Arabidopsis thaliana: one gene and its partner. The protein of the gene in region 1 purifies or fractionates together with the protein of each later gene. This does not show direct contact. Each region holds a gene or a part of one and is shown on either strand. Other genes may lie near its edges.

Region 1 (6,974 bases):
CCACGTATTTTTTTCGTCATATATATGTTAATGTCGCGGGTTTTTCGACCTGCAGATGTTTTGTTTATTCTTTTCAGAAATCTATATATTATATATACATATATAAAGAAATGATTAACCAATGAAGCCTCGGTTAATATTAATTTACAGTTTTACACCATATTATATATAGCTTATAGCTTACGGAGAAACCTTGTAGAAAATTCTATCTATCCAGTTATGTTTCTCTTAATTACTCATTGATACCTTAACTGGAGTACCTAACCTATATTTGTGTTTAGGTAAAAGTAAGATAGGAACGAGAAAGATAAGTTAAAAAAAAAAGAAAAAAAAAAAAAACGAGAAAGATAACTTTAAATCGATTAATTTATCTAAATTAAAGTTCTTTTCGTTTAGTTCGGCGCAAATACTCGACCAGTTTAAATTCAAGTTCATTATATGCACGAGCAACCAAGCACGATGCATTATTGCATAAACAAATGAAATCAACGGCATCCGATTTTTTAAAATAATTAAGGGCATGTAATTAATTAATATTTTAAATTATGAAAGGATTTATACGTACGTATATATAGTTCATAGTTTTATAGAACTCCGAATTTGTTGAGGGTATATATTTGAAAAAGCATAATTTTTAAGTTTAAACAGGCCCAGTTGATTGATAATCCTAACTTAATCTCTCGTACCTACCAAAATTAAGCTGTTGTCACGTCTGTTGCATTCATAATTGGTCAACAATATTTGAGGAAATAATTATGGTAATAGTTGAAAACACTTGTATTTCCTTTTTGTCAGGATAACACTTACGTTTCATGCAATTATTTGATATAAAATGTGTAGAGAGATATATTAATCAAAATTTGGTGTGTGTTTTTTTTTCTAAACACATTCAAAACTTGGTTAATTAAGTTGGTCACTTGGTAGAAATTTAAACAAAAAAACTATGGATCCGATTTATTTATTTGTCCAACCAATACAATATTTGACAGTTGTTTTACGTGAGGTTTAAACTAATTGTAAGGGTAAAGCGATAAATACAAACAATACGTGGGGATTAGTTGCTGAAAAAAATAAGTCACGAGAGGGCATAGATAAAAAACCAATAAACCATATTTGTTTTTGTTTAACGAAGCACTAGAGCTTCATGCGTGTAGGGTTATAAAGTTACATACACGCGTGGAAAAATACGAGAACGGTGGTGGGGAATTAGGTCTCTATCGTAGTTACCGTTAATTAATACAATATATTAGAATTTTGTAGTTTTAGATTTCTCTTTTTATGATGATATTTTGTCGTGCAGATATTTATGGAAGCGTGAGACGTTCGTGCGGAGTGAGTAATATAGATAATACAGATATTGATGTAACAAAAAAAAAAGAGGATATGATTTGCTTTGGGACGTTAAACACGAAAATAGTCGACTTTAAAGGGTTGAGTAAAATAATTAGAGAAAAGCTTATTTCAGTGAAATAATGCGGTAACTGGTAGGATTTGAAGCTCGGATATGTGTTGATGCTTTGGTATTTTTCGTCATTGCATTGAATATATATGGTGCATTGAATATTTGAATATTTAGAGATTAAGTTACAACAGATCCTAAAAAAAAAAAAAAGAAAAAAAAAAAAAAAAAAAAAAAGTTACAACAGATCCGAATATTTAAATTATACGGAAACCGAACTATACATACATCGAACAAATACTAATTTACTGTAAATTATTTACATGTTGCACAAATTTTACTGAATTCGTAGATTTCTTTGACATCAACATGAGAACACTTAGAAAAAGCAACAAATCTAGTCCTCCACAAAACAGAACTTTTGTTAGATTTATAAAAGATTCTCCCCTAACCTGTAAAACTCAAATTTTAAAACAGTTGACGTAGAGTTTGATCTATTGCAATATAAATTATTTGCACGAATACTATTAGGTGGGAATGTGAGATTAATAATTAGGAAAAAATTAGTCTTTAATATAATGATTATGCATCCTCTTTTCACGTAAAGATTAGTCTCATAGTTTTGTCTTCTTTAGCTTTTTCTCCTCTTTTTTTCTTCTCTTTGCCAAATTTCTTCTCTTTCGCTTTTACATTTTCTCCAGCAAAATAAGACAAGATCTCAATCACTTCTTCTTCTTCAATTCTATCTAAAGCTGTCACGAGAAAGCCAGAGAATTTCTCAGCTTCTCATTTTGTCAAGCAAATACAAAAAGAACACACTTCTTTTTTATTTCCGGGAAAATTCGTTTTTATGTAGTGGTCGTACTAAACACGCTTCCTTTATGTGGAATCTTAAAGCAGTCCCTTTTTTTAGTTGAATTCAACAGTTTTTTTCTTTTTTTTTTTGGTTCCGGATCCGACCATCTCTGCAACATCGTACTTTGAGAGACAACACTGTCGAAGACCATCTACGTTGTCTTCTTTACTTGGAGAACTCTCTCTGTCTCTTCTCTGTACTTTCTCCCTTCTCTTTTTCCGTATCTGTCAGCCTTTGATTCCGCTTTTTTGTTCCTTCACCACATATACATGTATGTATCTTCTTCTTCTACCTTGAACAAGACTTGATTTTGCCACTAGTTATTTCAGAAAAATTAATCTTAATTTCACTTTGAATTTTTCAGCGTTCCAAGCTCATATCCGGTGAAGTTTTTGGAGGATTTGGTTGTTATGGAGCATAGGGTTTTCTCAAAAAGAAGATTCTTGAGCTTGAAATTGAAGTCTTTGAATTCTTAAGGGAATTTTATCGAACACTTTGTGGGCTAATAACATGAAACAACAATGGCAGTTCTTGATCCTCTGTTTGCTCGTCTTGTTTCTAACGGTGGACTCTCGTGGCAGACGGCTACTCAGCGACGACGTTAACGACACAGCTCTGCTAACGGCGTTTAAGCAAACCTCTATCAAGTCGGATCCTACCAACTTTTTAGGTAACTGGAGATACGGGTCGGGTCGTGACCCATGTACTTGGCGAGGCGTCTCTTGTTCTAGCGATGGTAGAGTCATTGGACTTGATCTACGAAACGGTGGTCTTACCGGAACCCTAAATCTCAATAATCTCACGGCGTTGTCTAATCTCCGGAGTCTTTATTTGCAAGGAAACAACTTCTCCTCCGGAGATTCTTCTTCTTCTTCAGGATGTTCTCTCGAGGTTCTGGATTTATCTTCAAACTCGCTTACGGACTCTTCAATAGTGGATTACGTTTTCTCCACCTGTTTAAATCTGGTTTCTGTCAATTTCTCGCACAACAAGCTCGCCGGGAAATTGAAGTCTTCTCCTTCGGCGAGTAACAAGAGAATCACAACCGTTGATCTCTCGAACAATCGCTTCTCCGATGAGATTCCGGAGACTTTCATCGCCGATTTTCCGAATTCTCTGAAACACCTCGACTTATCCGGCAACAATGTCACCGGCGACTTCTCTCGTCTCAGCTTTGGTCTCTGTGAGAACCTCACCGTATTCAGCTTATCACAGAACAGCATCTCCGGCGACAGATTTCCGGTTAGTCTCTCAAATTGTAAGCTCCTCGAAACGTTAAACCTCTCTCGGAACAGTCTCATCGGAAAAATCCCCGGAGATGACTATTGGGGAAATTTTCAGAACCTGAGGCAGCTCTCTCTTGCACACAACCTTTACTCCGGTGAGATTCCACCGGAGCTTTCTCTGCTCTGTCGAACTCTAGAGGTTCTCGATCTCTCCGGCAACAGTCTCACCGGTCAGCTTCCGCAATCATTCACCTCTTGTGGCTCATTACAAAGCCTAAATCTTGGAAACAACAAGCTCTCCGGTGATTTCTTAAGCACCGTCGTGAGTAAACTCTCTAGAATCACTAATCTTTACTTACCATTCAACAACATCTCAGGCTCTGTTCCGATTTCGCTCACCAACTGTAGTAATCTGCGAGTTCTTGATCTGAGCTCAAACGAGTTCACTGGAGAAGTACCATCTGGTTTCTGCTCTCTTCAAAGCTCTTCGGTTTTGGAAAAGTTGCTTATTGCCAACAATTACCTCTCAGGAACTGTCCCTGTAGAGCTTGGTAAATGTAAGAGCTTGAAGACTATAGATCTTAGCTTCAATGCTCTCACTGGTCTGATTCCTAAGGAGATATGGACATTGCCTAAGCTCTCCGACTTAGTTATGTGGGCGAACAATCTCACTGGTGGAATCCCGGAGAGCATTTGTGTTGATGGAGGAAACTTGGAAACGTTAATCTTAAACAACAATCTCTTAACCGGTTCTCTTCCAGAATCAATCTCCAAATGCACCAACATGCTTTGGATCTCCCTTTCTAGTAACCTGCTTACCGGTGAAATCCCTGTAGGAATCGGAAAGCTTGAGAAGTTAGCGATTCTGCAACTCGGGAACAATTCTTTAACTGGGAACATTCCAAGTGAGCTTGGAAACTGCAAGAACCTTATCTGGCTTGATCTTAACAGCAATAATCTAACTGGGAATCTCCCAGGTGAACTTGCAAGTCAGGCCGGACTGGTAATGCCCGGAAGCGTCTCTGGTAAACAGTTTGCGTTTGTGAGGAATGAAGGTGGGACGGATTGCAGAGGTGCAGGGGGTTTGGTTGAGTTTGAAGGAATTCGTGCTGAGCGGTTAGAGCATTTTCCAATGGTTCATTCATGTCCCAAGACTCGGATATACTCAGGCATGACCATGTACATGTTCTCCAGTAACGGGAGCATGATCTACTTGGACCTTTCCTACAATGCGGTTTCAGGTTCTATTCCTTTGGGTTATGGTGCAATGGGATATCTTCAGGTCTTGAATTTGGGACATAACTTGTTAACTGGAACCATACCGGATAGCTTCGGAGGATTGAAAGCAATTGGAGTTCTTGATCTATCTCACAATGATCTCCAAGGATTCTTACCTGGATCACTAGGAGGACTCTCTTTTCTAAGCGACTTAGACGTCTCTAACAACAATCTAACCGGACCAATCCCATTCGGAGGCCAACTTACGACGTTCCCACTCACAAGATACGCCAACAACTCTGGCCTCTGCGGGGTTCCTCTACCACCTTGTAGCTCTGGTTCCCGGCCCACGAGATCTCATGCTCACCCTAAAAAACAGAGCATTGCGACTGGGATGAGTGCGGGGATTGTGTTTTCTTTCATGTGTATTGTGATGCTTATTATGGCGCTTTATAGAGCAAGGAAGGTTCAGAAGAAGGAAAAACAGAGAGAGAAGTACATTGAGAGCCTTCCGACATCTGGTAGCAGCAGCTGGAAGCTCTCTAGTGTTCATGAACCGTTGAGCATCAACGTTGCAACATTTGAGAAGCCGCTGCGAAAACTTACTTTTGCACACCTTTTAGAAGCCACAAACGGGTTTAGTGCTGATAGTATGATCGGATCAGGTGGATTTGGAGATGTCTACAAGGCTAAACTGGCTGATGGATCTGTTGTAGCGATCAAGAAGTTGATTCAAGTCACGGGACAAGGTGATAGAGAGTTCATGGCAGAGATGGAAACGATTGGTAAAATCAAACATCGAAATTTGGTACCTCTTCTTGGATATTGCAAGATTGGTGAAGAGAGACTTCTTGTCTATGAGTACATGAAATACGGAAGCTTAGAGACAGTTCTGCACGAAAAGACCAAGAAGGGTGGAATCTTTCTTGATTGGTCAGCGAGAAAGAAGATTGCAATAGGAGCTGCGCGTGGGCTAGCTTTTCTGCACCATAGCTGCATTCCTCATATTATCCACAGGGATATGAAATCAAGCAACGTTCTTCTAGACCAAGATTTTGTTGCCCGTGTCTCAGATTTTGGTATGGCAAGGCTGGTGAGCGCTCTGGACACACACTTGAGCGTGAGCACGCTCGCAGGTACTCCCGGGTATGTCCCACCAGAGTATTACCAGAGTTTCCGATGTACAGCCAAAGGAGATGTGTATAGCTACGGAGTTATACTTCTGGAGCTCCTCTCAGGCAAGAAACCGATCGATCCAGAGGAGTTTGGTGAAGACAACAACCTTGTGGGATGGGCTAAACAGCTCTACAGAGAGAAGAGAGGAGCTGAGATACTTGACCCAGAGTTAGTAACAGACAAATCTGGCGATGTTGAGCTACTTCATTACTTGAAGATTGCGTCTCAATGTTTGGACGATCGGCCATTCAAAAGACCAACTATGATTCAAGTCATGACGATGTTCAAAGAGCTCGTTCAGGTTGATACAGAGAACGACAGTCTTGATGAGTTTTTGCTAAAGGAAACGCCGTTGGTCGAAGAATCACGAGATAAGGAGCCTTAAGGAATTCAGGAAGATTTGAAATTTGTTATTTTCGTCCTATTTTTGGTGTTACTGATTCAGTGTATATAACAGTAAAAAGTAATACAGACACTGAAGGGTTTTTACTTAATTTCTTGATTTCTGAAAGCTATTAAGAAATACTTCGTTGTAAAGTTTTTGTACCTAACAAATTAATCTTATCGTAATGACAATTTTGTGAGCCGTGTTATATACTTATGTGTGATGATGATTAACAATATGATAAACTTTGATTGATGGTATTTCTGCTTTTGATCTCAAGATTGGCAATTAGGGAAAGAACACTTCATGTCAGACAAAGAAGATGATCTCTGCTTATTTCGTTGAAGATTATGGATACATTACATAAGCGTTACAAAAAAATGAAGAACAAAAAAAGAGAAACTTAATGCGTCTTTTTAAAACAAGAAAAAAATTACTTAAGGGATAGACATACATACATTTCAATTTCATGTATATACGAATAAACCATATACTTTTAAAAATCAATTTTATAAAATTTAAAACAGTTAAAAAGAAAAGACCCAAAAAACCAGAAAAATAAATCCGTTAGGTAAACGTCTTGCAAATGCCTCTCAATCGATTGAATCAACAGAAGAATCCAAACTATTTTGTTGCATTAAAAGTAAATTTTTTGTAAAATTTAACTTAGGCTCCAGCGTAAGGGTTAGGCTTAGGTGTACCCTTCACTAGACC
Region 2 (5,936 bases), about 18 Mb from region 1:
GTGGCGTGGTAATGAATCTCCGATTAGAAGAAACTAAAGGATCTCCTCCACCGGCTCCGGCGTCGGATTTTCTACGGGTAACGTAAGGAGAAACAGAGCGAGGGAAAATCAAAAGCGGAGGATGATTATTGTTATTAGATTTCTTTGATTGATTATCTTCTACGGCGGCTGATACGGCGGCGGAAGCGGCGAGAGAGAGGAGACGTTCACGGAGGCAAGAAGCGCAAACGCCGTTGCTGCTGCTGAGATCGACGGTGTGTCTTTTACACCTCATCGGAGGAGAATTGAAGATAAAAGAAAAAGCTTTGATTTTTTTCGAAAGGAAGCTTTTTTTTTTTTGGGTTGGGCCGAGAGTTTCGGTGGTTATAGTGATGTGACAACCTGTAAAGATGAAGGAAGAAGAAAAGATCTGGTGGTAAAGATTTTGTCTTCTTCTCCTAAGATCTCTGTTTTGAGATAGGCTTAGAGAGAGAGAGATAGCATTCTATGTCGGAAAACCAAAAAAAAAGATAGATGAGAGAGAGAAACTAATTTATTTATCTAATGGAGATTTGTAAGCACAACATTTTGACAGATCATTTTATCACTAACCATTTCTTTAATGCAAAATTTAATTATGCGATGGTTAGTGATTCAATTGCAATTTTTGGTTCGTAATTTTGCCAACTTACAAAAAATTGATCTAACGCGCCATTATAGTTTCATAGTTGTAGAAGATAAAATCTAGTTATGGTTGACCTTTCTTTAATTCAATATACGGACCAATACCATTGGATTTGAATGGGATGTGTAGTGATTACCTCAGCCACTGACTTGAAACAATGATATAACTGTATAAATAAATAAAAAACCTAAAAGAGAAGCATGTGACGTTGGATGGTAAAAGCCGACAAGTATTAGGTGAAGACGAGCCATCGTCGTTTTCCACATATCTCACACGAATGTTCGTCCGTTTCTTCTACATATTGCCACGTGGTTTTCATATTTCATCAATAGGCCTTAACTTCATTATTGGGCTTTTAAAGCCTTCCTAAAGTCTCCTTGTCTATTGGGCCTGTCATGTGATAATCAATGATGTAATAAATAACGACAACCTATACTTAGTTTTTGCTTCTTCTTAGTTTGAATATGTTATGTTAGTTTGGTTATTTCAGTCATTTAGTTTGGTTTGGTTGATAACTAAATCATGATGTTGAGAGAAACTCATTGTTTTTGTGTTTATGTCTATGTTTATTGTGAAGAATGATTCATTATTTACCAAGTACTAAGAAATTCAAAATTTTCTAGAAATATTATTTTATGTTTGTGATTTCTAAAATAAAATCTAAAATAATTCAGACTGGATAACACAAAACCCATAAAAACTAGAGAACCGCTTGTATACATATAGCCTCCTACCCTCTTCCTGGACCTAACTTTATTATTGGGTCCTTTTAAAAGTCTTCTATATCTATTGGGCCTTCTAAACAATGTTGATTGTTGTTTCTAGACTTATTATTTTGTATTTGTGTGAGGGGTCCATGTGGAATTTCAAAATTCGAAAATTCAAACAGGTTACAAATATCTCAAATTAAAGGGACACAAATCTTATCTTCATTATTTTAGATTTGACCGTCTAGAAAAGTAAGAACCAGACCGTACCGAACCAAAACGAACCAGAGCCAGACGACTCCTTAACGGCGGCTAAGCTATCTGTAAACCGACCGAACCACACAGCCACAGGCACACAAATCAAACCTTCTAGAAATCAAAGAGAGACATTTATTCTCTAAATTCATTTTCCTATTTTGCCCCTACGAATATTTTTCTTCTTCGTCTCTCTCTCTCAGCTCTTGAAGTCTTTGGTCTGTTGGCGAATTTTCAAGCAGCTTTCTAATTCTGAACTGAAAATTTCGTCTTTGGAACTTTATATTCTCTCATCTGAAACTGAAGGAGAAGGAAGATGACGACTATGGAGAGTTTGATTGGGTTAGTTAATAGGATACAGAGAGCATGTACCGTACTCGGTGACTATGGTGGTGGAACTGGAAGTAACGCTTTCAATTCTCTCTGGGAAGCTCTTCCAACCGTCGCCGTCGTCGGTGGTCAGGTGATTTCTCCGGTTGAAATATCTTTGACTTCTTCCTAGGTTTTCTCTCTGGTGACTCTTCAACTTACTTTTTTTTTGGGTTTGTGCAGAGTTCTGGGAAATCTTCGGTTCTTGAGAGTATAGTTGGGAGAGATTTTCTTCCTAGAGGATCTGGTTTGTGAAAATTTTCCCTTTTCTCTTATGTTTGTATATAAAGCAAGGAGGAGCTTTGGTTTTGAGGAAGAAGTATTGTTTGTGCAGGTATCGTTACGAGACGGCCTTTAGTGTTGCAGCTTCATAAGACTGATGATGGAACAGAGGAGTATGCAGAGTTCCTTCATCTTCCCAAGAAGCAATTCACAGATTTTGGTATGTACCTTAACATTTATGTCTATCTATGTTATGTATATCAATGTATGTTTGTTCTGCTTCAAGTGTGTTTTAGTTGAAAGTGTTCATTGAATTTTTGCTTGAAAATTCTTCGATGTTTCAGCTTTGGTTCGCAGGGAGATTCAGGATGAGACTGATAGAATCACAGGGAAAAACAAACAGATATCTCCAGTTCCTATTCACCTCAGTATCTACTCTCCAAATGGTATCTTTAATAATCTCAGTCTGATTCCTGTAACATTCTTGTTTGTTGATTTAACATTGATGTTTGCTCTTTTTTATGGAAACAGTTGTGAATTTGACACTCATTGATTTGCCCGGTTTAACTAAAGTGGCTGTTGGTATGTTTCTTTTGACCTCTTCTTTGGGTTTCCATTTCTTTATTATTTGATGACCGTATATGTAGTTATTGATACTGCCTCTGATTTCCAGAGGGACAGCCGGAAACCATTGCTGAGGATATCGAATCCATGGTTCGCACATATGTTGATAAGGTGAGAATTGCTAGATCTTTCATTTTTTTTTAAAAATGCAAAAACCTTATACGACTTTTAAACTATATGCTCAAGTTCTAGTTGCAGATGGTTAACTTTTTTAGTAGTACCAATAGCTTAATTTCTGTTTGTTTGCAGCCCAATTGTATCATATTGGCTATATCTCCTGCCAACCAAGACATTGCCACATCAGATGCAATTAAGCTCGCAAAAGATGTCGATCCAACAGGTTCGTTTACTATTTTGTTACCTATGATTGATATATATATATGGCAGGAAGTACTGTCTTTAGATGATGAAATAAGTTTTTGATCGTCTCAGGTGAGAGGACATTTGGTGTTCTTACCAAGTTAGACTTGATGGACAAAGGAACTAATGCGTTAGAAGTAAGCACCTCTTCGTCTCTTTTGGTTCATGTGTCATGGTCCACTTTAATGATTATACATGACTGGTATTATGATTGGCAAACCAATCTAGGGATGATAAAAGTAACTAAATCTACAGCGTGCTTTCCAGTTCTTACTTTTTTTAGTTAGAAATTTTGATCTAACATTCAGAACTGCTTGCCTTAATAAGGTTCTTGAAGGAAGATCTTACAGGCTGCAACATCCTTGGGTTGGGATAGTGAACCGTTCACAAGCAGATATTAATAAGAATGTCGATATGATGCTTGCAAGACGCAAGGAACGAGAATATTTTGATACCAGTCCTGACTATGGTCACTTAGCCAGCAAAATGGGTTCAGAATATCTGGCAAAGCTGCTCTCTAAGGTATTCAATCAAAGGCTGAAATACTTGAGACTTTATCGGATTGTTTATTCATTGTTATTCATTTGATTTATGGTCTTTGTTTTTTTATGCAGCACTTGGAGTCTGTTATCAGGACCCGTATTCCAAGTATACTATCCTTAATAAACAAAAGCATTGAAGAACTTGAAAGAGAGTTAGACCGAATGGGTCGGCCTGTCGCAGTTGATGCTGGGGTGAGAGAGTACAATTATGTGAAACTATTTCTCTTCCATAAAGTTTTACGTTTTTTGATATGTGCTAAATCTGTTGGTCTCATTCTCAGGCTCAACTATACACTATATTGGAGATGTGCCGTGCATTCGATAAGATATTCAAGGAACATCTTGATGGCGGGTAAACATCTTTGCTAATCTTCCTGTGGAATTTTTTTTGCTTAGGTTGTTGATTTTTGGTTAACCTCTTTTTACATTTTAGGCGTCCTGGAGGTGACCGTATCTATGGAGTCTTTGACAACCAACTTCCAGCTGCACTTAAAAAGCTTCCTTTTGATCGCCATCTTTCTCTACAAAGCGTGAAGAAAATCGTGTCCGAGGCAGATGGTTATCAACCTCACTTGATTGCACCAGAACAGGGTTATCGCCGTCTAATCGAAGGGGCACTGGGTTACTTTAGAGGTCCAGCTGAAGCTTCTGTGGATGCTGTAAGTTCTTCTACAGTGTCTCCTCACTTCACTTTTATAAATACAAGACCGTAATGAGAATGGCGCAAATGCAACAGGTTCACTATGTCTTGAAAGAGCTTGTGAGGAAATCAATATCAGAAACTGAGGTAAGTTCACTATTGATTTTTCTTATACTGGTAGAATGTACTACACGGGTTTGACTGGATCTCCCTTCCCTGGTGGCAAAATGCAGGAGCTAAAGCGTTTCCCTTCACTGCAAGTCGAGCTTGCTGCAGCAGCCAACAGCTCCTTGGAGAAATTCAGGGAAGAAAGCAAGAAGTCGGTTATTCGACTTGTTGACATGGAATCTGCGTATCTAACCGCTGAGTTCTTCCGGAAACTTCCTCAAGAAATAGAAAGACCAGTAACCAACAGCAAAAACCAAACCGCTTCTCCTTCGTCTGCAACATTAGACCAGTATGGAGACGGACATTTCAGAAGGATAGCATCAAATGTATCTGCGTATGTTAATATGGTTTCGGACACACTTCGTAACACCATTCCAAAAGCTTGTGTGTACTGTCAGGTTAGACAAGCCAAGCTCGCATTGCTCAATTACTTCTACTCTCAGATCAGCAAGAGAGAGGTAAACTGAAGCTAAAATAGAATGTCTCAAATATTTCATATTATGTGGTATGCGCATCAAATCTTATAGTTGGTCGGAAAATTTCACAGGGGAAACAGTTGGGACAGTTACTAGATGAAGATCCGGCATTGATGGACCGGAGACTAGAGTGCGCGAAGAGGCTAGAGTTATACAAGAAAGCAAGAGATGAGATTGATGCTGTTGCTTGGGTAAGATGATAAAACCTAAAAGTGTGTTTCTGGTGATGGTTTTAGAGAACTATAAATTCGTCTGTTGTTTAAGTTCGTTGACTATGTCTTTGTATGTATGTATATGATCATCAGACCCTATTGAGAGAGACTTGAGACGTTTTGTAATAAACTTATCATTACTATTTAAAAACGCCATAGCGTGTACTTTCCGTCTCGCTTCACTTTAGAGAACCGCGTGCCGTTTAAAACATGCACGTTGCAACCGTTAGCAGACTACACGCCGTTTTTCTTCCTTAATTTCTCTATCTTCTTCACCTGAATCTTCTTCGCCTGGACTTGTCAAACTTGTGCGTGATTCATCGTCACATCGCCTTGATCATGGAAACTCCTATCGATGCTCCGAATAAGGTGTTGTATTCACCTGTCTATCCAATTTCATTATCATTGTAACTAATAAAAATCTGGTATTTTTTTCTAAATTCTCGAGGATATTATTTGGTTACAGGACGAACATGAATGCCCTAGGTGGAAGAAATCAACTGTAGTTTTTGTGTTGGGTAATAATAACTCCACTCTATGTAATCATATGCTTGAAGGTTAATTTTTGTGGTGTTGAGTGGTTTGATTGATTCTATAGGTGGTCCTGGAAGTGGAAAAGGTACTCAGTGTGCTAATGTTGTGAAGCACTTTAGCTATACCCATTTTAGTGCTGGTGATCTTCTCAGAGCAGAAATTA

The links. The genes of interacting proteins can lie anywhere in the genome.
Region 2: the proteins of BRL3 (region 1) and DL1E purify together in Arabidopsis thaliana (affinity purification with western blotting, with the first as the bait; one study listed by BioGRID). This does not show direct contact.

What each region holds. Positions count from the first base shown.
Region 1 is NC_003074.8:4,344,475-4,351,448, forward strand, and holds BRL3 (BRI1-like 3), read left to right. Parts: upstream 1-1,855; 5' UTR 1,856-2,526; intron 2,527-2,619; 5' UTR 2,620-2,765; coding exon 2,766-6,260; 3' UTR 6,261-6,465; downstream 6,466-6,974. Other genes in the region: sks11 (SKU5 similar 11), read right to left, coding at 6,927-6,974. UniProt on the Arabidopsis thaliana protein: Receptor with a dual specificity kinase activity acting on both serine/threonine- and tyrosine-containing substrates. Binds brassinolide. Regulates, in response to brassinosteroid binding, a signaling cascade involved in plant development.
Region 2 is NC_003074.8:22,243,658-22,249,593, reverse strand, and holds DL1E (DYNAMIN-like 1E), read left to right. Parts: upstream 1-1,617; 5' UTR 1,618-1,942; coding exon 1,943-2,089; intron 2,090-2,178; coding exon 2,179-2,242; intron 2,243-2,329; coding exon 2,330-2,437; intron 2,438-2,561; coding exon 2,562-2,663; intron 2,664-2,748; coding exon 2,749-2,799; intron 2,800-2,890; coding exon 2,891-2,952; intron 2,953-3,090; coding exon 3,091-3,181; intron 3,182-3,273; coding exon 3,274-3,338; intron 3,339-3,528; coding exon 3,529-3,723; intron 3,724-3,815; coding exon 3,816-3,935; intron 3,936-4,024; coding exon 4,025-4,095; intron 4,096-4,176; coding exon 4,177-4,402; intron 4,403-4,479; coding exon 4,480-4,530; intron 4,531-4,616; coding exon 4,617-5,009; intron 5,010-5,098; coding exon 5,099-5,227; 3' UTR 5,228-5,425; downstream 5,426-5,936. Other genes in the region: AT3G60200 (uncharacterized protein), read right to left, coding at 1-274; AT3G60180 (P-loop containing nucleoside triphosphate hydrolases superfamily protein), read left to right, coding at 5,579-5,608, 5,706-5,757, 5,838-5,936. UniProt on the Arabidopsis thaliana protein: Microtubule-associated force-producing protein that is targeted to the tubulo-vesicular network of the forming cell plate during cytokinesis.